6 linked regions of the Rattus norvegicus genome follow. The protein of the gene in region 1 binds, or shares a complex with, the protein of each later gene. Links are inferred from orthologs where the notes say so. Each region holds a gene or a part of one and is shown on either strand. Other genes may lie near its edges.

Region 1 (4,187 bases):
CTCACGGCAACCAGGGCAACAACAGGTGAGCACCAACCGTGGAAGCCCATTGAACACTGAGGCAAAAGCCCAGTCTTGGTACATATAAAGGCACAACACAAGTCAGAGCTTAGTCTGCTTTCTACAGCTGTGAAAGCCCACCCAACAAGATCAAACCACACTGAGGAAGGAGGAGGGGCTAGGTGCAGGTGAGGCCTAATTCCAAGGGACAGAACTGGGTGTCAAGGCACCAGAAACCAGTCAGTAATCTAATCTAACCCCAAATCTTAACTGAACCTCACTTACCATGGAAAGCAGGCCTGGAGCCGAGTGTCTAAGTTTAAAATTTTCATCTGCAAATGGACCCCGGTAAATACTGGCGACTCCAGTACCATCGCCCTGAGTAGAGAAGAGACACATCAGTGGCCTGGAGTGTTGGGCACCCTGGAAACCAGATGATAAGGCCGGGGAGAATGGTCCACAGGTAAGGGGAGCCAGCCAGCCAGCTGTCCTAGCTGAACCAAGCAGCTTTTCATCTAGTGCAACCTTGTCATGAGGCAACAAGATAGTGACTGACAGAGGGCGTCAGATCCCATTACAGAGGGTTGTGAGCCACCATGTGGTTGCTGAGATTTGAACTCCGGACCTGTGGAAGAGCAGTCAGTACTCTTAACTGCTAGACCATCTCTCCGTCCCTTAGCTATTATTCTTAAATCTCAAGACTGGGCCTTGCTGGAAAAAAATTAACAAAGAAAAAAAGCAGTACTTACATTAACAAAATCTCCACCCTGAATCATGAAATCCTTTATGACCCTGAAAGAGAGTTAAAAAAAATCCTGAGGGAAGATTCAGTGGTTCAGCCACTGAAGTGGTAGATTAGCATGTCTTCTGGAGTTCAGTGTTTATCACTGAGGCTTAGAGAAAGTCTTTGTCCCTGGGGTGAGCCAGCTGAGGGATTAACAGTTTTAACTCAGGGGCCCCTTTTAAGTTGCCCTCAGGTGTATGAGTCAGCACCTCAACAACAGAAAGGAACTGAAAACCTGGCAGAGACACACCTACAGTCACCAAAGGAAAACAAAACAACATCATCAAAAAACCACCTCACTTTGGGGAAAGAGAACACAACGTGAATGGACTGCTGCACACACTGAAACTCGAGGATGATGTCAGCTAGTGTACCCAGGTCCTTAGCTTTGCTTAGCCTCTTTTCCCTACCTTGCAGAATTCAGAAAACACATCATAACACCTCACAAGAATGCCAGGGGAGGATTACAGACTGCAGCTCTAAAACCCTTGATATGGGAGACAATGGACATTTTCAGGATTAAAATGGAGCAACTTCTGTCAAACTCATAAGTAAACATAGAAAGCCAGGAGATCGTGAAGGTCAGGTTCCTACAGACGACTGCCTGGTAACAGTGGTTACCGCAAAGTCTCTGCTAAGTCATAACCCAGAACCAGGGAGGGTTCAGCGGGTAAAGTGCTTGCTGTGCAGCCTAAGGATCTGAGTTTAGATCTCTAGGAACATGTGGACATGCTCCTGTACTGAACAGGTACTGAGTAGGTACAGAGTGCTTTCCCTGGCACTGTTTCTACAATCAATATGACATAAAGTCAGGCATGACTTAAGGCACTGTGCACAGACTACATGGTGCTGAGTACCGAATCCAGGGTCTTATGAATGCTGGGCAAATTCTCTACCAAGCTACAGCCTCAGCCCTGAACATGCCATTTAAACAACAGACTTAATCCTCCACAGGTTTTGGATTCAGGTGTACAGGACTGCCTGTACAGATACCAAGAGATGACTGCATTTCCAGTTTGCCAAAAGCCTTCCTTACCTGTGGAAGGTGCTTCCTTTGTATCCTATCGGAACGCCGTCTTTTCTGTAAACACAAAGGAAGACACTAGGAATGATGAAAAATAAACGTGGGTCTTCCCCATTTAGGATGCACGAGAGGCTAAGAGGACTCTCACTAAGATCTGGATGGGAGAAGAGATAAAGAACACATCCAAGGAGTCATCTTCTCTCTGCATATCATCTTTCATTACTAGAGACCTGTTCATGGTTCTCCAATACCCTCACCAAACGTCCAGGTCACCCTTCAGGAGTTGGTGGAGAAGTCAAACACATCTGAGACTGACCTGAATTCTCCAGTGCAGAACTGCCTAAAAAGAAAGAAATCAAGAAAGAAACAGTGAACGATTCAGCCGCCGTACCATCACTGCTTGGAGCACCTCTAATCTCTGGAGAGGAGAGTTCAAACACTGGGGCCAGCATGCCCACTAACTAACTGATCGGGCAGATGTCAGGGCACGTAGACTAGTGATTTAAGTTGATATGGGATCGGTCAAAGTCGGTAGCTATTTGGCCAGTGCAATACCCAGAGCACTACTCTAAGGCAATGAATAAATGAACAGAGGCAGACAAGGCAAAGACTGAACCGAGGGCTCAGCTCTGGTTCACTTGGAGCATACATATCTTTACCTAAAGTTCTCTGCCGTCTTAGGCACCACGTCTGCAAAGAGCTCGATCTTCATGCGACCAACTTCCTGCAAGAAACGGGAGATGCAATACTCAGCCCACGACCGCTGTCCATGCAGCTCGGAAGCTCCCACCTCCACCGCCTGACCCAGCCTATCTCGGGAGGGCTAGAAGGGCCCCCTCGGCTGCCTCCTTTACCCGAGTCCAGTCAGCCCGCACAGGCCCGCTGGGCCGCCCGCATCTCACCTGGCCGCCAATACTGACATCAAAGAAGACCACTGGATTGACGGGACTTGAATTTGCCACCGCCATGGCTTTGACTCGGAAGTAGAAGCCTAACTTCCGGTGACAGGTCCCGCGAACTTCATCGGAAACGCAGACGCAGTGGAAACAGTCCGCGGTTGCGCCCCGCCCCGGAAGTGTGGCAGGTACTGAGGGAATTTTAGCTGAGTTGGTCCGAGCTGCGGGAAGGAGCGCAGGCGTCTTTATCAAAGTCTATGGGCTTCTCCACTCTCTTGACTGTATTAGCGTAATACAAATGAATCTTTTGCAGACAGCTTTTCCCGAGCAGTCACACTTGGTGTCCTCTGTTACAGCCCATGAGAGGAGGACCCTCTGGGTCACATTCCATATTTTAAAATGGTATGTTATGTAGGGTTGACGAAGTCGCGATGCTGGAAATGTAATTTCATTCTTTTTTATGATTGTAAAATGTTTTTATTTTTTAATCGATTCACTTTACACCCCGAGATCGCTGCCCCCTCTCCTGGTTACCCCCTCCTACAATTTCTCCCCCATTCCCTCTTTACCTTTTCTTCTGAGAGGGTAGAGATCTCCTCTGGTTATCCCCCACCCCCATCAAGTCTCTGTAGGTTAGGCCCACTCTCTCCCACTGAGTCCAGACAAGGCAGCCCAGCTAGAAGAAACAGCCAGGCATCTTTTGGGATAGCCTCTACTCCAGTTATTCTGGACTCACATGAAGACTGAGCTGCACATCTGCACTGTGTGCGTGTGCGTGTGTGTCTAGGTCCATCCTGTGTATGTTCTTTGGCTGGTGGTTCCGTCTCTGAGAGCCCCAAAAGATCAATGTTAGTTGACCGTTAGTTTTCCTGTGGAGTTCCTATCCCCTCAGAGGCCCTCAACACTTCCCCCAACTCTTCCTTAAGAGTCCCCAAGCTCCATCCAATGTTTGGCCATGGTTCTCTGCATCCTTCTGAGTCAGCTGCTGGGTAGAGTGTCTCTCAGAGAACAGCCATGCTAAGCTCCTGCCTGCAAGCATAATAGAGTAGTATCATTAATAGTGTCAGGGATTGGTATTTGCCCATGGGATAGGTTTCTAGACTCATTTCTGTCACAAGCTTTTAGCTCATTTGATATAGAAAGTTTCAGGTTTTAAAACCTTTGTGCTAGTAATTTCACTTTCCAGTTAATCTCTTATTGTCCTTATTCAAGTATGTGTTTATTTGGGGACTTAAAAAATTTTTTTTATGTGTAGTGGTGTTATGTTTGTCCGTCTGGTGCCCCTGGAGGCTATAAGAGGGTGTCAGATCCCCTAGATTGACAGAACTTGAATGACAGACAGTTGAGACAGATGGATGTAGGGAATTGACACTGGGTCCTCTGGGAGAATAGCTCTCGGTGTTTGGGAACTTTTGAGATAGCATTTCATGTTATATCAGGGTCAGTTTACCCTCAAACTTGATAGGCCAGCAGATAACCTTGA
Region 2 (3,145 bases), on another chromosome or scaffold:
AAATCAATATATTGATGTTTTAAGCTCAGAATCTCAGACCATGACCTTATTTGAAGTGATTATCATATGTAATTGGTTAAGATGAGGTTGTCAGAGTGAGGTGGGCCCCTCAGACAATGTGACTGGTATTCTTATAACTATGAATATTTTGAGATTGGCATATACATGCGTACACATGACATACACAACTCGTAAGGAAAATGGCAAACACTGGGATAATGTACTCTCAATCCAAGGTTCACCAAGGACGGCTAATAACCTCCAGAGCTAAGGGGTTACTATGGATAGCCCACGCCTCAAATGGAACCCAGAACACAGCCACCTCAGGTGCAGACCTGGAAAACCATACAGCTGAAATGTCTGTGGAAGCCACCCTATCTGTGGTATTTGCTTGACAGCTCTAGCGACCACTTGAAGATGCAAAACCTGACAGCCTCATGGGACAGACAACGCTTTCACTGAGAGTGAAGACATTTACAGTCAGTAAAGCACACGGCAGATTCCTACTGTTCCTTCACGTTTATTTGCTTCAGGTAGTTAAGGCCCCTGTAACTCATCTCAAGGCTCCTCCAGCCCTAAGGCCATGTTCTGCTGCAGGCCCTTTCCCGAGGCTATGAGAGCAGAGTCTGTCTAGCCAGAAGAGGCTCCCAGTGTCCTGTGCACAGCCTGAGTCAGTGCTCAGTATCTGTACTTTGTGGAATAGTCCTTGGGCGACACCACCAGGCCTCGGCCTTTGCGGGCGCCACGGTACACGGTCTCTATGATGTCAACCATTTCCTGCTTGTCTTCCATGGCCCAGTTGATCTTGTTATTGTTACCAGTGCCCAAATCAATCATGATGTGTTTGTTTCTGAAAGAGAAGAGAAGAGCGATGCTCACAGAGAGCCCCACGCACGTCTGGTCTCTCTGCGGCCTAAGCACCTGTAATGCCATTTAAGAGCACAGACCACTCAGAGAGTCCACAGTTCAAGACAAAATAAAGACAAACACTAAATATAATTTTCTATAGAAAAACTCTGCACTCTTCTTGGATTTTCTGTGCATTTGTTTACATATATAATTTAGTTCTTTTGAGACAGGGTCTCTACATATCTCTGATTGTCCTGGAACTCACTTTGTAGATAGGGCTGGCCTCAAACTCAGAGACCCCATTGCCCCTGCTCCCGAGTTCTAGACTGAGGGCATGCACCGCTGTGCCCTGCAATTGTGCATCCGTATCTTGGACTGTAAAGGTCAAAGACAGCTGTATCGTTCTGAAAGACAAGCAGTTTTCCCGAGGTGCTCTAATTTTCCTGAAAAAGCCTGTGACCTTCTCATGCTTTGTGCACAGGGACTTGGTACAGATTCACCAAACGCTTTGTAACCGTGGGTTGAGAATGATGGCTTTGCCCACCTGGTATGCTGTGACTGAGAAGCAAACAGTCCTTAGCCACTCACCCTTCAGAGGACAGGCCTTTCCCTCACTTAGGAACCTGCATTTGTACTTTCTGAATAAAGATATTAATCCCTACTGAATTTGCATGAATTTTTTCAAGTTTCTAAAGATCTGTTTCTATTAGTCTAACACTATGGGATCACTTCTATGGAATCACACACTGGCTTCCACTATAGCCCATGACCACGCCCCACTGGTTCTGAGAGCAGTGAAAAGGTCAGTTTGACATGACATATGTCAAATATTCACTCCCAGGGAGCATTCCATGTCCTCAGTTAGCCCAGGAAGGGGGTGGACACCCACACCTCCTCCTACCCACATGCACAGCAGCCCTACTGGGCTCTATGGCTTAGTCTCTCTGTAAGCACACTGGACATGACTAGTACTTTGTATACCCGGGAACCCTGTGTGATTCTGACAGGCTTCAGTCAGTTTTATCTCTGCAAAGGGTTTTTGTAAAGAGGAGCCTGGCTTCTCTTACTCTGTCCCAGTCCTAAGAGTAAAACCTGGTAGGTACTCAGTGTACCTGGTAGGTACACTGGGATATAAACTGACCACTCTTGACTCTTGTTCTAGAACTTTGGATCACAGAAGAAGGAGGAAATTTGTCTTCTTTTCTGAGTCCACTATCTGTCCTAATGACCTCAAAGACACCGGCTGTCCCTACCCACACACCAACACTGCTTCCTCCAACCTCCTCCCATGCCTGTCGCTGTCTCTCTAAGCTAGTCCCTCTCTCCCATGTGAAGTGAGCGCCTTGTTTCTCACAAAGAGGAAGGGACTTTGGTTGCACACTGGGAAGGAACTACTGTGTCCTATAGTTGTATGGAAAGCAGAACTTGTTAACTGAACTTGTTTTTTAGCAGAAGAGATTTCCAAACAAGGAAATGCTGCCTGTTTTCTTTCTGTCCGTAAAGGACAGAGATGAGTGGGCTCAGGACTGTTAGTGAGAAAATTAAACTCGCAGCTTCTTCAGATAGCACAGTGCTGAAGGCCAGAACATTCGCAGGCAGCAACTGTGGAGGAAGAGAAGACTGTGGAAAGAAGAGAATGGCCCCCACTGTGGCTGAAAGAGCTGGTCAACCTGCTCAGCTGCAAGCATCAGTCATGAAGGAGACTTGGTTAGATCCCTTCCCAGGGGGAGCACGCAGCTAGGAGTGTAATACTGAGCCTTATTAAAGTTTGTCTGGCCCTGTGTGCTGTGTGTGCAGGTGTGGGGTGTTGGAGGTGGAAGGGGAAGAGGCTCCCTGTTTCTGCCCAATCCCTCTGAGCTGGAACAACTTCACAGGGCAGGGGTCACGCTGTAGACCTCAGAGCAACTGACTGGGTGATCTGGACAATGAGGACTGTGACCTGCTGGTCCCAGGAGTGGGGTCTCTAGGGTCCTTGGAGACCTGGGAGAGGGTCCTGGCTTGCTTTAAGGGAAGGACAGTCTCAAGGATAATAGACAAAATCCTAAAATACCGCCCGTCCCTGGGACCTCTGCTGTGACACTGCACAGGACATTCCTGACACGGGCCAAGCTCCTCAGTAGCTGGCTCTAAAAGGAGATCACTGTGATTACCCAACTCGCACTAGTCTAACCCCCCTCTAAGAAGGAGAGGATTGTGCGAAAAGCTCACTGTGACAGACAATGGATGCTGTCTTACTCAGACAGAGGAGCCTTAAAGAGCAGAGTGGCTCCCACCAACAGCAGCAAGAAGAAAAGCC
Region 3 (3,500 bases), on another chromosome or scaffold:
ATGCCACTACCCCCAGTTATGTGGTGTTGGAATCAAGCCTAGGCTTTGTGCATACTGGATACCCTATCACTTGAGCTAAATCCCCAGACCCATTTCTACCCTTCTGAAAAGGAATTTGTGTGGCCACTCAAGAGGAAAAAGGAGAAAGCCCTCTAATCTCTAATGTCTTTTTTCCTGCCCCCGGCCCCCAAAAGGTAAAACAGACAAACTCCTAAAAAAAGTACATGAAGCTAGCTGCTAAGAACCTAAAAGTAGACATTCTCCCTCCTACCCTCACCCCAGAATAAAGTAAGGCGTCTTGGTGGGCACTGCTCAGCACCTACACTGTTTCCTGGCCTGCGATCAGTGATGCCGACACAGCCAACCTTCCTCACAGCATGCTGCATGCACGAGCTTAGGCAAGGTTGCTGGAGTACTTAGGCAAGGTTGCCCAAAAAAGGCAAACAAACTCAAAGCCACCAGAGGAACAATGCTATTTTGCAGCTCTGTGCCATGCCAGCCAGGGGCCACTCACTCACTCACATGATGAAGCACATGGATCCTGTAGGAGCCCTCAGAAGGCTTGCCATCATGCACAATGTTGGCGATGAGGTCATAGGTGGTGTTCTTGTGGACTGCTTGGACTTCTTCAGATAAGTATTCTCTCAGATCCACATTTCTGGAGACACAAAATAAATAAGTCAGACCATGGCTATCAAGTTAGAGAAATCCCTACACAGGAACAAATGAACCACAGAGTGACTGACAGTTACTTTAGGGTCCTCGCTCTAGGAAGGTTTACAGTGCCAAAAATGTCCCAGTGAGTTGAATTTTACATTTCTCAACAGCAACTACTTATATCAGGAAAACACCCTTTAGAACCATGTCTAGGTGCCAGAAGTGCAGGATCTCTGCTCGCCTGGATCTAAACGGGAATCTTGGCTGTCACATACATGACAGCTGTGAATCTAAGCAGGTTACACAGGAATGTGACCCCACTAGCTACCCTGGGAGTAATGAGCTGGGGCAGCAGGGCTTCACCTCGGGCCTAGCTGGAGCCACCTTGCAGCTCCAGGACTCAGGCAGCGCCTGTCCTGTGCCCTCAGGCCTACAGGAAGAAGAATGACCACATGCTAGGTCACCACTGCAACCATCTAATCTGAACACTAGGCAAACCATCAGCTTTTTATTTTTAAGGCCCTTACTTTCATTTTCTTTCAGTGAAGTTAGAGGCAAAATCATTGCAAGCAACACAGCTCACATAATTAGCAAAGGTATGAAATGGGAGTTTATTCACGGCTTCCAGACTAGGAAACCAGCACTGAAGAAAAAAAGGGTCCAGAGAGCTGGCTGCCTTCTGTTCCTTTGTATGTGTGGTGTATGTTCCTGTGTGCACATGCAGATGGATATGAATGCCTGTACAGGTGAGAGATCAACACCCAGTGTCTTCCTCAGTTTCTCTCTTCCTTATTTTTTATACAAGGTCTCTCAATGCCATCTTCTGCTTTTCAAAGGCAAAGCCACACATGCAGTGTACAAACACACATGCTGATGAAAACACTCATATACATAAAGTGATGTATACTTTCTGGATCCATTGTTTTCTTCAGTGCTGGTTTCCTAATCTAGAAGCCTTGAATAAACTCCCATTTCATGCCTCCATACACCTTTAATTCCTCATGAGGAAGAGGCAGGAGGATCTCTAGGAGTTCAGTCAGCCTGGCCTACATATGAGAGCCAGAAAAACTATGTAGAGACCCTGTCTCAATAAGGGTTTTTTTTTTAAAACAATTAGGGAAATGAAGCAATTGATAAAGTGTTGGCCATGCAAGCCTGGTGGCCCGAGTTTGATCCACACAGTGAAAGAGGAGAAATTAATCGTATACCTCATTCTCGGCTTCCCACATGTGTCCAGGCTCACAGATACCCATAAACAAAATAGATAAAATGTTAATAAAGAAGTCATGGAGCCCTATTCTAAGAATAGACCTCCTGTTTTCTAACTTTCCTGGAGCAAGCTTTCCAAAGGACAAACTACTCAAGTCACAACTCCCAGATGCACAAATGCACAGACAGATAAGAAGACAAAAACACGCCAAGCCCAAAAGAAAAGCTAGCAGGGTAAGAAGTTCCGGCAGCTTCTCAACAGAAGCACCCGCAGCGGCCCATCCACCCACAGCGGCGCCCTGCAGCGGAAGCACTCCTGCTCTCAGGAGCAGACTGGTGATGGTGGCAACTCACAGGAGGCTGCTCTGACATACACCCTGGCTGATGGAATTTGAAAGACAGTGCTTCTGGAGTCCACTAAAAAGAACAGGCAGATGGCTTCTGTGTTCCTTACTTTGTTCTACTTGTCACACAAACAGGATGGTGCGAAGAACAGGAAGAAAAGTGTGGGAAGGAGGGGCTGGAGAGACGGCCCAGAGGTTAAGAGCACTGACTGCTCTTGCAGACATCCCAGGTTCATTTCTCTACACCTACATGGTTCACAACCATCTGTAACTCCAGTTCCTGAAGGTCCAATGACCTCTTCTGGCCTCCATGGGCTCCACATGCACACCATAAACAGACATACATGCAGGTAATACATTCATACACATAATTTTAAAAACTGTATAATATCCTTTAAAAAGGAAAAAAGGGAATTCTCTTGTATTCCTAAGAAATTCTCCTACGTGGCAGCTGTCACACACTTAGAATCGCAGGTTGAGGAGGTTGAGCCAGGGTTCAGCAAAGACCAGGCCTGAGCTTCAAAGCAAGATCCTGTCTCCAAATCTTAGAAAAAACTTAGATAAAATTCAGATAAAGCTCTGTGATACAGCGCTCACCCAGCACCGAAGCTGCCTGCCTGACTCAGTCTCTAGTAATTAAGGAGAGGACCCCCAGGACGTCCTCTCCTTACTGTCTACTGCCACAGATCCTCAGGAAGGGTGGAATCCATTCAAAGAGAAAGCCTACCTGGAGGGAGCCTTAGGACTCATGCAATCTCAGTCTTACAGCCCAGAGTGCACTTTACCCACTAAGCCATCTCCCCAGCCTAAGACTTTAGATTGAACAGAACTCAGAACTGGAAATATATTCAAAGGAAAACTGGCAGTCCTTGTACTTGGGGAAAGTGAGAGGAAATGGGAAGAAAAGAATCCAAGAGGGAAGCACCCGTCCACTACTGCCCCAAACGGCTTTGTTTGTTTGTTTGTTTCTTTTTTTTTTTCCGGAGCTGGGGACCGAACCCAGGGCCTTGCGCTCGGTAGGCAAGCGCTCTACCGCTGAGCTAAATCCCCAACCCCCAAACAGCTTTGTTACACAGACAAAAATGTACAACTTCCCTGTCCCTGGAAAGCTGAACATATTCTAGACATCCCCGAGTCAAACATCTTATGCTCAGGCAAAGCCTTTTCTCCGCTAGTCTGTCTTAGACACTGCCCTACCTGCAACCTCCTCACCACCAGATGCTGACACACTCACGTCAGACTGCCATGGGCTTTCTCCATGTTCTCAGAGAACTTCTTCAGATCACATGA
Region 4 (4,300 bases), on another chromosome or scaffold:
GGGAGCAAAGAGGAGAGAAGCATTCATTTATGCTGGAATCAGCAGAGGGAAAATCAGAACTACAGTGACAAGGGGGGAGGAACTCTAGGCCCTGAAGCCAGCAGGCAGCCCCTGTAAGTTCTGAGGTGGAAATGATAAAGCACCTCAGACTCAGTCTGTCCTCACACCAACACATCAGAAGCTCGTAGTCAGGCCGGGCCTATGCTCCATTTAATATTAGTATTTCCACTTTAAGACAGGTTCTCACTTGGCCCAGGCTGGCCTCCAACTTCTGGCATTCCTACCTCCACTTCTGAAGTTCTAGAACTACAGCTAGGAGCACTACTCATGGCCATTGCCCACTGGGTTTCCCTGTGGGGTTCTAGAACTAGCTCTGTAGATAAGGCAGGCTTCAAACTCCCCCCTGCCCCTGCCCTTGCCCCTGCCTCCTGAGGGCTAGGTTTAAAGGTTTAAGGGATGAACAGCCATCAACCACTCAGCTAATCACCTTTCAAAGTAGTATCATCCAGGACTTATGAGAGGTCATGTAAGGTACCAAAACTTACACAAATGAACTGGAATGTCAGCCCTGATCTGCACGACTCCCAGAAACATCCATTATTTTTAAATACTGATTTTTACTATTTGTGTGTATGTGCATGTAGTTACCCACAGAGACCAGAAGAGGGCATCAGATCCATTGAAGCCAGAGTTCTAAGGAGTTGTATTCAGCCCAACAAACTGTTGTCAATCACCTAATGTAGCTGCCGGGAACTGAACTCTATTTCTCTGGAAGAGCAGCAAGCTCTTTTTAAAGCACCAAGCCATCTCTGCAGCTCCAATAGCTGTTACTTGTAAACATTTATGCTTTGGAGCCAGAGACCTACATATACATGGCAGCTGAAATTAACTATTATTAATGCTACACTCCCCCACCCTCTAGTCCTGAGTACAGTTATCAAAGCCACTGCTCCCACACCATGTTACCCATCTTATATTTACCCACTGCACGGAGGTGCAGAGGAATTAAAATTTTAATTAACAACCCCAGATCCTGCATTTTACTTCTTCACTCTCTACATTCTACGAACCCCCACTGCTCTGTGGAAGAACACTTGTGTGGTCTGACTTTTAGACTAGAAAAAGTCTTAGCTACTCTCCACCCCGGCCTGGGCCAGCCTCTCACTTGCCCACACTGGCCATAACCATCCTGCTTGTCAACACCACGTTCTGTCTTAGAATCAAGGCTCTCAAGCACTGACCTGTGCTCAAAGGTTTCAAGAGTCTACAAATAAAAGGATTTTAAAAAGAAACACGAGGGCTGGAAATGAAGTTCACCTGTTGAGCATGCCCATCCAGTACATGAAAAAAAAAATAGACATCAGTGACACCTATAATTTTCTAAGCACTATTAAGAAAGTAGACTCTAGAATTAGGGATTTAGCTCAGTGGTAGAGCGCTTGCCTAGCAAGCGCAAGGCCCTGGGTTCAGTACCCAGCCCCGAACAAAAGAAAAGAAAAAAGAAAGAAAGAAAGAAAGAAAGAAAGAAAGAAAGAAAGAAAGAAAGTAAGTAGACTCTAGGGGCTGGAGAGATGGCTCAATGGTTAAGAGCACTGACTGCTCTTCCAGAGGTCCAGAGTTCAATCCCAGCAACCACATGGTGGCTCACAACCAACTATAATGAGATCTGATGCCCTCTTTTGGTGTTTCTGAAGTCAGCTACAATGTACTTATGTATAATAAACAAACAAACAAACAAAAAAAGAAAGTAGACTCTAATGGATGATGTGACAAGAAGCCATAAACATCTTTCCAGTGATACAGCATTTAATCCACTCCTGAATGGTTAAGAGCAAATGATACAGCAGGGCAAATCCTAGCACTCAGGAGACAGAGGCAGGCGGATCTGTGTGTTCCGGGACATCCAGGACTGCACATACATGTTACTTAACTGTATCTCACTGTGTAACTCTGGCTGGCCCTGGACATATGTAGACCAAACTGTCCTTGAATTCACAATTCTGCATCAGCGTTGGGATTACACGCATGTGCCACAGCACCAGGCTCACTCTTAAACTAATCTTTACACTCAAGACACAAGATATTTCTTCTGTGTTTTGCCCCTCTGCTCTAAAATAGCTTTGTGAACAACAACCACGAAAACGATCAGGACACCAGGCACCTCCCACCTTCCACCAACTCGCTGAAATAAAGACCTACCTCAGATCATTCTTGAGTTCCACGACTACATCCTTGCCCACAAGGGACTTGAAAAAGGAGTAGAAGAGCTATTGGAAAAGAGGGAGGAACTATCACATGAAAAGGGACAGGGAGGAGGAACCCGTGACGGCATTTGAAATACCAGTCCTTTTGGCCCCACCTAGTAGTTCTCAAAATTTCACCACCATCAACAATCCGTTAACAGAGACTGCAATTCCTGGGGCCACAGAGAGACAATAACTGCGCTGCACCCCTCGATGCCAGAACCCACTCTCCGAATCGACCACCTCCCTGCTCGAGACCGCTTCCCAACCGCACCCTCACAAAATCCTGATCTCCAGCACGGAAATGCAAGACTAGCTTTCCGTTCTCCCCCGGCGCCCGTGGGCTTTCTCTTGGACTTGCTGGAAGTTTCCCCAAAAAAACCATTGGTTCCAAGCAGTCTCCTCACACAGGGTGTGGGCCCTGAGGTTGTAAGGAAAACCCTAGGGCTTAGCTACAGCCCAAGGCAACAAACACTAGAGCGCAACCAAGACCCGAACAGTTCGAACCGCCCGCCGCGGGCGGCGGCGCTCCCTTTTGACGTCACGGTACCCACCATGGTGCTGGCGCCACGAGGGGCGGCCTGGACCGCGAAGGAAGGCGCCGGGGACTGCGGGCCGGAGGCAGGGCGGGAGCCGGAGCACGAGCCCGCGCGTGAGGCAGGACAGGATCACGCAGGCGCAAGGGGAACCGCGAAAACCGCGGCTGAATCTGGGCTCAAAGGGAGCGGAGTAGGGCAGAGCAGAGAGGACCGCCAAACCGGGAGGAGGGCGGGACTTCCTGTCTCCCACTTCCTCCCAAGGAACTCCTCCCTCCCGAGCGCGTGCGTGGGCCATAGCAGCTGCGCGTTGGATGTAGTTCGCCTCCCTGATAATTTTTTAGATTCTTCTCTGTGCCGGGTGACTTGCTCATACTCTACGCTTTCTACTGAGAATTATTGGGAAGATTGAGAAAATTATGACTTGCATATTCTTTTAAAAAAGATTGAGTTATTATATATAAGTACATTGTAGCTGTCTTCTGACACACCAGGAGAGGGCATCAGATCCCATTACAGATGGTTGTGAGCCACCGTGTGGTTTCTGGGATTTGAACACAGGACCTCTGGAAGAGCAGTCAGTGCTCTTAACCGCTGAGCCATCTCTCCAGCCGTATTATTTTTACTAGTAATTAAATGGGAAGTTGCTAGGTTATAGCTTCTGTAGATATCATGTCTGGATAAATAGGAAAACACTTGCTATTTTGTCTTCTCGAGGCTGGCTGTTGGTGCAAGGCAGTCATGGTACACAGGTGAGAATTCTGAGAGACTAGGCCTGCTGATTGCATGATACCAAAAAAGTCGGTTTCCTGGGGGTCTGGGTGAAGCTTGGAGCATGCCTGCCTGTGTAGGCCAGAGATGAATGCTGGCTGTTCTTTCCACTTACTTAATATTTTAAAATTTTATATGTGTGAGTTTTTCCTTGCACGTATATCTGTGTACCACATGTGCAGTGTTCCCAGACACTAAAAGAGTGTGTTGGATCCTCTGGAGTTATAGTTGTTAGCCACCATACGGGTGCTGGGAATCAAACCCTGGTCCTGCCGAAGAGCAACATATGTCCTTAACGACTTAGCCATCTCATTTTCTGAGACAGGATCTGCCACTGATCCTGGAATGGACAGGTTCATTCAGCTAGACTGACTTGCCAGCAAGACCCTAAGATGTGTCTTCCCTCTCTGTCCTACCTACCCCACTCCACCTGTGCACATCACTGTGTTCAGAGCTGGATCCATCATGATTACCAAGCAAGATGTTACCGAGTTTCAACAGAAACTTTAACACCTGAATCTAAAAGAGGCTGTCACTGGTTAGAAGCAGTCAGTACATTTAGCAGCTGCTTCCTATGGGCTCAGGGTGCCTGAGAATTAGAAAATATTTTTCCTGGCAGGTGTAACGTTCTGTAATTCCAGTCATGTAGGCAGCATGAACGAAAGACATTTGAGGCAGACCTGCCTCAAAACCAAAAAAAAAATTGTTGGATATGCTCAACTTACACAAATTCAAGTACTTTGCCCTTAT
Region 5 (3,500 bases), on another chromosome or scaffold:
ACTATCCATGTGGCCCAGCCTGGTCTAACTCCCTAGCCTTCTGCACTCATCTCCGGTACCAGGGAGTACTAGTACTACTCGGCTCCTTCATGTTACTCCAGGTCTTCCTGTTGCTCCTTTTATAGTCCATTTCTCAGCTCCACTCCCTGACATCTTAGAACACTTCACCAAAAGCACACTTACCATCTAGACCCAGCTCTCCCAAACAGGACTATGACCCTCACAGAAGCTGTCACCGATACTGAGGCCACAGGGGCCTGGGCTAACATGAAGAGGGAGCTGAGGACAGTCTCTAAGGGGGCTGAGCTGATTACCAACACTCACCACAGCCCAGGTACCAACACTCACCACAGCCCAGGTACCAACACTCACCACAGCCCAGGTACCAACACTCACCACAGCCCAGGTATCATCAACACTCACCACAGCCCAGGTACCAACACTCACCACAGCCCAGGTACCAACACTCACCACAGCCCAGGTACCAACACTCACCACAGCCCAGGTACCAACACTCACCACAGCCCAGGTATCAACACTCACCACAGCCCAGGTATCAACACTCACCACAGCCCAGGTACCAACACTCACCACAGCCCAGGTACCAACACTCACCACAGCCCAGGTATCAACACTCACCACAGCCCAGGTATCAACACTCACCACAGCCCAGGTATCAACACTCACCACAGCCCAGGTATCAACACTCACCACAGCCCAGGTATCAACACTCACCACAGCCCAGGTACCAACACTCACCACAGCCCAGGTACCAACACTCACCACAGCCCAGGTACCAACACTCACCACAGCCCAGGTACCAACACTCACCACAGCCCAGGTACCAACACTCACCACAGCCCAGGTATCATCAACACTCACCACAGCCCAGGTACCAACACTCACCACAGCCCAGGTACCAACACTCACCACAGCCCAGGTACCAACACTCACCACAGCCCAGGTACCAACACTCACCACAGCCCAGGTACCAATACTCACCACAGCCCAGGTACCAACACTCACCACAGCCCAGGTATCATCAACACTCACCACAGCCCAGGTACCAACACTCACCACAGCCCAGGTACCAACACTCACCACAGCCCAGGTATCAACACTCACCACAGCCCAGGTACCAACACTCACCACAGCCCAGGTATCAACACTCACCACAGCCCAGGTATCAACACTCACCACAGCCCAGGTATCAACACTCACCACAGCCCAGGTACCAACACTCACCACAGCCCAGGTACCAACACTCACCACAGCCCAGGTACCAACACTCACCACAGCCCAGGTACCAACACTCACCACAGCCCAGGTACCAACACTCACCACAGCCCAGGTACCAACACTCACCACAGCCCAGGTACCAACACTCACCACAGCCCAGGTATCATCAACACTCACCACAGCCCAGGTACCAACACTCACCACAGCCCAGGTACCAACACTCACCACAGCCCAGGTATCAACACTCACCACAGCCCAGGTATCAACACTCACCACAGCCCAGGTATCAACACTCACCACAGCCCAGGTACCAACACTCACCACAGCCCAGGTATCAACACTCACCACAGCCCAGGTATCAACACTCACCACAGCCCAGGTACCAACACTCACCACAGCCCAGGTATCAACACTCACCACAGCCCAGGTATCATCAACACTCACCACAGCCCAGGTACCAACACTCACCACAGCCCAGGTATCAACACTCACCACAGCCCAGGGTTCTTTGGGTTTTTCAGACGAGATTTCTCTAAAATGGCCCGAGCACGAGTCAGCTGCCCAATCTTTTCCTCTAGCCGGGAAAGCAAGAGCCACAGTGGCGTGGAGTGAGGACATTTCTTCAACTGTGACCAAAAAAAAAAAGTACAAAATAAGAGCTCAGAGAGCATCTACAAAAGACTGAGAATTGTGGTCAGTTTCCAGGAGTACTTCAGGGCTGTTAGGTATGTACTCCGTACTCGACTGGCTCTGTGCTGTGCACATGCAAACAGGAATGCATTGGTTTACTGTGTGTAATGGTGTTATGTACATGTACAATAAAGGATGCCTGTAGGACTTTGTATATGTGTCACGTACATGTGTATACAGGGTGTGCACTTCATGCACAGTGTGTTCACTATGCTGCTTTTGATGTACCTACCGAACGAACCCTACATATCCCAAATACAGGGTGTGCAACTTTGTAGGAAAAAACCACAGTATCCACAGCCACAGGAAGAGCAAAGGCTCAGGCCCAAGCACAAAGTTCTATCACTGACCACTGCCCCTCCACCTTTTTCAGAGGTGTGTGAAAATGACTATGCCCTGCTGCTGCGTTCTCTAAGATATCCTGACAGACTCACCCCCTGGTTGTAGGCCTCCCGGGCCCTCTCCATCAGCTCTCCTTGCTCCTCAATCTGCCCCTTCATCATCCACAGCTTGGGGAAATCTTCATAGTGCCTCAGAGCCTCCTCGCACAGCTCCTGTGCGGCAGTGATGTTCCCCAGCACCCACTCCAGCTTCACAGACTTCATGAACACCTGCAAAGCCGAGAAGCACTGCCACATGAGGGAGGGCGTATCCACCACTTATCTGGATGCTATCTCCACACCACATGCTTAAAGTCACACATCTTTCACACATCTGTCCTGGGCCACTTAAGTTTTTATTAGCTCTCTTGTGAATACAAAAGGTACAGATAAATAAGGGATGCATGCTAAAGCCCAGGACCAAGACTGGGCTGGGGTCGAGCTGTGCCACCCATCTCACTCCTTCCAAATGCCATGTAGGAGCCAAGAGGAACCCAGCCAACCTCCCCAACCCACCAGTCACCACTCACACGGGCGGTGGGTGCGCTGCTCCGGGCCTTGGCCAGCAGCCTCCGGGCTCGCTCGTACTCATTGTTCTCTGACTCCAGCTTCACAGCCGCCAGCCAGATCTCTTCGCTGTTGGGGTTGGCCTGGAGAACAAATGCAGCTGCATCAGAAAGGCTCAGCACAAAAGTGACCAAGGCTAGATCACTCTTCATCAAAAACAGGCATTCTGAAACCTGAGCTGGCCCTCTCCCTGATGCAGGACTAGTATGAGTTAGTATCAGTACACTCCTGCACAAGCTACAAGCTGGGGGGTCACAGGGAAGACCTCAGCCAGGACCCAAGCTTATAGGGTGAAAACAGAAACAAAACTCCGCATTTGTTTTCACTCTTGTACAGAGATGAGGCAACAATGTTAGTGCTCTACAGCGCCCTCTCTAGGACCTGTCTAAGTTCTACACAACCTTTAAAATGCATGCCTTTGTGTTGGGAGTTGCTATATCTAGTTTAATCCCTTCCCTCGGCACACCACACCATGTGGTCAGGGTAGAAAGATGTTCAAGGTGCAGATAACGAAGTGTAAAGGGCTCCCAAAGGCATGGGCCAAGCTACACAGATACACTGTCCAGGAGATGTAAAAGTGGTGCACGCAAAACTTGTACCCACCCCGCTCTGGGAATTCTGCTA
Region 6 (3,500 bases), about 9.8 Mb from region 1:
CCTCATTGATGGAGCCAGCATGACCAGGAAGCTTATACAGGATCCTTCTGCTTGTGGTGTCCCACACGTACACAAACCTGCAAGATGCCACAACAAACAAAGGAAGGTCCCTTAGAAGAGGGTCAGAGCACTTGGGCTGGAAGCAAAATGGAGAACGTTTGCTTACTGAACAATCCTCTGGGCTTTGGAAAACAGGACAACACCAACTGAAACAGAGAATATTTGGGGCTTCAAACCAACCAAACTGAGGCCAGGCAGCAGTGCTGCATGCCTTTAATCCTAGCATTAAGATCTCTGTGAGTTTAAGGGCAGCCTGATATACAGAGTTCGTTCTAGGAAAGCCAGGGCTACACAGGGAAACCCTGTCTCAAAAAACAAACAAGGGCTGGAGAGATGGCTCAGTGGTTAAGAGCACTGGCTACTCTTCCAGAGGTCCTGAGTTCAATTCCCAGCAACCACATGGTGGCTCACAACCATCTGTAAAGAGATCCGATGCCCTCTTCTGGTGTGTCTGAAGACAGCTACAGTGTACTTATATATAATAAATGAATAAATCTTAAAAAAAAAAAGAATGCTAAAAAACAAACAAACCCCAACAAAATAGATACAGTCCATGACTGATTATGCTATTTACAGAATTGACAAAATTCTGAAATCACAGAAAGACTATACCTGCAATCCCAGCACTGGGAAGAGGGAAGCCAGGAGGACTATGGGTTTGAGGCCAGCCTAGAATGTACTGAGATGGTCTAAACCCCTATACTCAACAAATGAACAAGAGTTCATTAGTTATGTCCTGTGCTCTCTCCGTGTGGGCTCCAAATCTGAGTAACACACTTGGAATAGTTGGGTATATTGGCACATGCGTGTAAACCCAGCACTTGGTACAAACAGGCTGCAAGACATGGAATTTAAAGGCCATCCTGGGCTATATAAGACCTAAATAGTCTAGACAGGAGGCAGACCCCATCCCTGCCTCTGAGCTAGTGCTCATGCCCTCTGATGCCTATCTCTGCCACGCACAAGCCACTGTCCCTCACCAGCCCCGCCCCAGGCAGAGGGGAAGGCTGACGGCACTGGAGTCAGAATAGTGGGGGCAAGGTCCACAGCATGGACTCACTGGCCAGCTTGTCAGACAACTGCCTTTCTTTCGTTAGAATAGTGGGGGAGGGGCTGGGGATTTAGCTCAGTGGTAGAGCGCTCGCCTAGGAAGCGCAAGGCCCTGGGTTTGGTCCCCAGCTCCGAAAAAAAGAACCAAAAAAAAAAAAAAGGTGGGGGAAAAAAGGATTCTAGCTTTTTTTTTTTTGGTTCTTTTTTTCGGAGCTGGGGATCGAACCCAGGACCTTGCGCTTCCTAGGCAAGCGCTCTACCACTGAGCCAAATCCCCAACCCCTGGATTCTAACTTTTTGAGAACAAGAATATACGCAAAGTGGCACGCAGAATTAGTGACTGCTATTGCTAATGTGAGTGTGTTACACAGCCAGAGCCAATGAAGTCATGTGCTGACCTGAATCCTCTTGGCGGCTCAGCCGGTGCCTGTAACAGGGCTGCGGAGGGTTAGAGGGCACAGGGGGAGGTGATCTGTAAGCAGAAGGGGAAACCCACCAGACCCAGGCACAGCTGGAAAGTGGTTTTCTGAGTTGGATATTATCTCTCAAGTTGGCAGAAACCAGCAGAAGCCTAGATCTCCAAGGGTTTACTTCAAGGCCTTGCTCACTCCTCATGGCTGCCAATTACATGCTAAATTTAGAGGGTTCCTTGTCCTCCCCACACGTGGGCATGTCACCATTTGGTAGAAACCAGGTTACTTATACAACAGAACTGACTGCTGACTTTAGGCTATCAGGGTGGCCTGTGAAATCCAGCCAAGCTCAGCAGAGGAGCACGCTTTCCTTCCACCAAGCCATGTGTCCTCTTTAAGGATTGGTCAGAGGAAGAGGAGCAAGAAGACATTGTAAGTCAGAAGATGTGAGCTGGACACGCTAGCTCACTCCTGCTCGGAGTTCAAGGCCAGTCTGCCGTACGCACTGAGTCTGAAGACAGCCAGAGATCCATGATGACACCTTGTCTTGCAAAGTTTCTAAGCATGTCCCCAAAGGGAACCCCTGCTTTCAGGCCTCTACTGTGAACCTCTAGGCGTCACTTACAAGTCCTTCGTCCCTGGCACTCAGAATCTCTACTCCATCAGATTTTCTCCCAAGTACGCAGCACCACAGACACCAGAACCAGCCTGTATCTGACAGGTGAATTCTGCCCTGTTTCCCATTCACAACTAAGGCCTTGAGTCATTCTAAGTTCATACTCGGGAAAGCCTAGTGACTTGGCAGAGATGGACGCTATCTAACCTGCTTCCCTCAGCGACATTGGCACTTTCCACCGAGCCTGGAGCTGATTCTGAATTATCTTTAACATTGACAGCTATGACCAAATGCTGGGTTGATACAAGGGTGGCATTTGATTGTCACCTCTGACCTAGGAATTTGTCCTTGAAACAGCAAGCGCTCAGAATTCAAGCACCAACCAGTACCCTGGGTTTACAGAGGATGTCAAAAGATTGTTCTGACTGTGAGAGCCATTCACAGAGATGCCCCCAATGTCTGTCTAAATGTAAGGAAGAAAAATATGTATAAAAGTTAGATGTATGGAACAAAGAGCAATGTGTCATGCTAAAGGGAGAGAGGGGGAAGGGAGAGGGTGAAGGAGAAGAGAGAGAAAAGGCGAGGGAGCGAACACTGAGAGAGTGCCATGGATAGCTCAGAGAAGGAGCAGAGTGGTTACTGGGAAGACAGTCTAGAGAGCACTGAGGGAGGTGTGAGAGACCCTGGAGAAGAATGGCAGGAGGGACAGCCTCTAATGTATTACATGACGGGAAGGAGAAGGCAGAGACACTAGGAAGATTATCAGTCTCCAACAGATATAAACACAGTCGACTCTCTAGGCCTAAAAACAAACAGACAGAAAACTACGTGTGTCCAACATGGGCTCTAAACCATTTGTCTTCACACGGCTTCACTTCTGAGAGCCCCTCAGTCACGTGGAAAGCTGTACCTCTGTTGTCTTCACAGTTAGGCATTAGGTGTGGGACCCGCATAGCCACCCCATTCTCCACCTCATACCCAGGGACCCTTACCTGTCTGCTGAGCCAGCTGCTATCTTGCTTCCGTCTGGTGACCAGGAACACCTCAGGAGGTTCTGCAATGAAAAAAGACTCCATGAACAGTTAGTGTGCTAAACCCGTCTCGCTGCACTAGGGGTCAGCTGACTTAATTCCCTACTAGGCTTCAGTATCTCCCAGACGTCATCAGCCATCACACTCCTGCTCAAAACAGCACGCTCTGTAATCTCATTAATTTTTCTTTAAATATTTCCGTATCTTACTTCTAAAAAAAATTCTTATTCATGTATTGGTTTTTCTAGACAGGGTTTTTCTGTGTAACAACATCCTTGACTGTCCTAGAACTCACTTTGTAGACCAGGTTGGCTTCGAATTCATAAAGAT

The links.
Region 2: Ppih (region 1) and Txnl4a share a complex: the UniProt entries of both Homo sapiens proteins name them as parts of the U4/U6-U5 tri-snRNP complex. The link is inferred for Rattus norvegicus from reciprocal best matches to the Homo sapiens genes PPIH and TXNL4A.
Region 3: Ppih (region 1) and Usp39 share a complex: the UniProt entries of both Homo sapiens proteins name them as parts of the U4/U6-U5 tri-snRNP complex. The link is inferred for Rattus norvegicus from reciprocal best matches to the Homo sapiens genes PPIH and USP39.
Region 4: Ppih (region 1) and Lsm2 share a complex: the UniProt entries of both Homo sapiens proteins name them as parts of the U4/U6-U5 tri-snRNP complex. The link is inferred for Rattus norvegicus from reciprocal best matches to the Homo sapiens genes PPIH and LSM2.
Region 5: Ppih (region 1) and Prpf6 share a complex: the UniProt entries of both Homo sapiens proteins name them as parts of the U4/U6-U5 tri-snRNP complex. The link is inferred for Rattus norvegicus from reciprocal best matches to the Homo sapiens genes PPIH and PRPF6.
Region 6: Ppih (region 1) and Snrnp40 share a complex: the UniProt entries of both Homo sapiens proteins name them as parts of the U4/U6-U5 tri-snRNP complex. The link is inferred for Rattus norvegicus from reciprocal best matches to the Homo sapiens genes PPIH and SNRNP40.

Annotation. Positions count from the first base shown.
Region 1 is NC_086023.1:138,206,781-138,210,967, forward strand, and holds the start of Ppih (peptidyl-prolyl cis-trans isomerase H), read right to left. Parts: upstream 2,801-4,187; 5' UTR 2,777-2,800; coding exon 2,711-2,776; intron 2,533-2,710; coding exon 2,468-2,532; intron 2,149-2,467; coding exon 2,125-2,148; intron 1,866-2,124; coding exon 1,821-1,865; intron 793-1,820; coding exon 750-792; intron 379-749; coding exon 286-378; intron 1-285. UniProt on the Homo sapiens protein: PPIase that catalyzes the cis-trans isomerization of proline imidic peptide bonds in oligopeptides and may therefore assist protein folding. Participates in pre-mRNA splicing.
Region 2 is NC_086036.1:75,947,229-75,950,373, reverse strand, and holds the end of Txnl4a (thioredoxin-like protein 4A), read right to left. Parts: intron 851-3,145; coding exon 679-850; 3' UTR 501-678; downstream 1-500. UniProt on the Homo sapiens protein: Plays a role in pre-mRNA splicing as component of the U5 snRNP and U4/U6-U5 tri-snRNP complexes that are involved in spliceosome assembly, and as component of the precatalytic spliceosome (spliceosome B complex).
Region 3 is NC_086022.1:105,933,552-105,937,051, forward strand, and holds part of Usp39 (U4/U6.U5 tri-snRNP-associated protein 2), read right to left. Parts: intron 659-3,500; coding exon 523-658; intron 1-522.
Region 4 is NC_086038.1:3,848,866-3,853,165, forward strand, and holds the start of Lsm2 (U6 snRNA-associated Sm-like protein LSm2), read right to left. Parts: upstream 2,801-4,300; coding exon 2,798-2,800; intron 2,629-2,797; coding exon of another isoform or gene 2,518-2,628; intron 2,268-2,517; coding exon 2,200-2,267; intron 1-2,199. UniProt on the Homo sapiens protein: Plays a role in pre-mRNA splicing as component of the U4/U6-U5 tri-snRNP complex that is involved in spliceosome assembly, and as component of the precatalytic spliceosome (spliceosome B complex).
Region 5 is NC_086021.1:189,139,965-189,143,464, reverse strand, and holds part of Prpf6 (pre-mRNA-processing factor 6), read right to left. Parts: intron 2,960-3,500; coding exon 2,840-2,959; intron 2,541-2,839; coding exon 2,364-2,540; intron 1,866-2,363; coding exon 1,732-1,865; intron 1-1,731. UniProt on the Homo sapiens protein: Involved in pre-mRNA splicing as component of the U4/U6-U5 tri-snRNP complex, one of the building blocks of the spliceosome.
Region 6 is NC_086023.1:148,012,290-148,015,789, reverse strand, and holds part of Snrnp40 (U5 small nuclear ribonucleoprotein 40 kDa protein), read right to left. Parts: intron 3,194-3,500; coding exon 3,132-3,193; intron 78-3,131; coding exon 1-77. UniProt on the Homo sapiens protein: Required for pre-mRNA splicing as component of the activated spliceosome. Component of the U5 small nuclear ribonucleoprotein (snRNP) complex and the U4/U6-U5 tri-snRNP complex, building blocks of the spliceosome.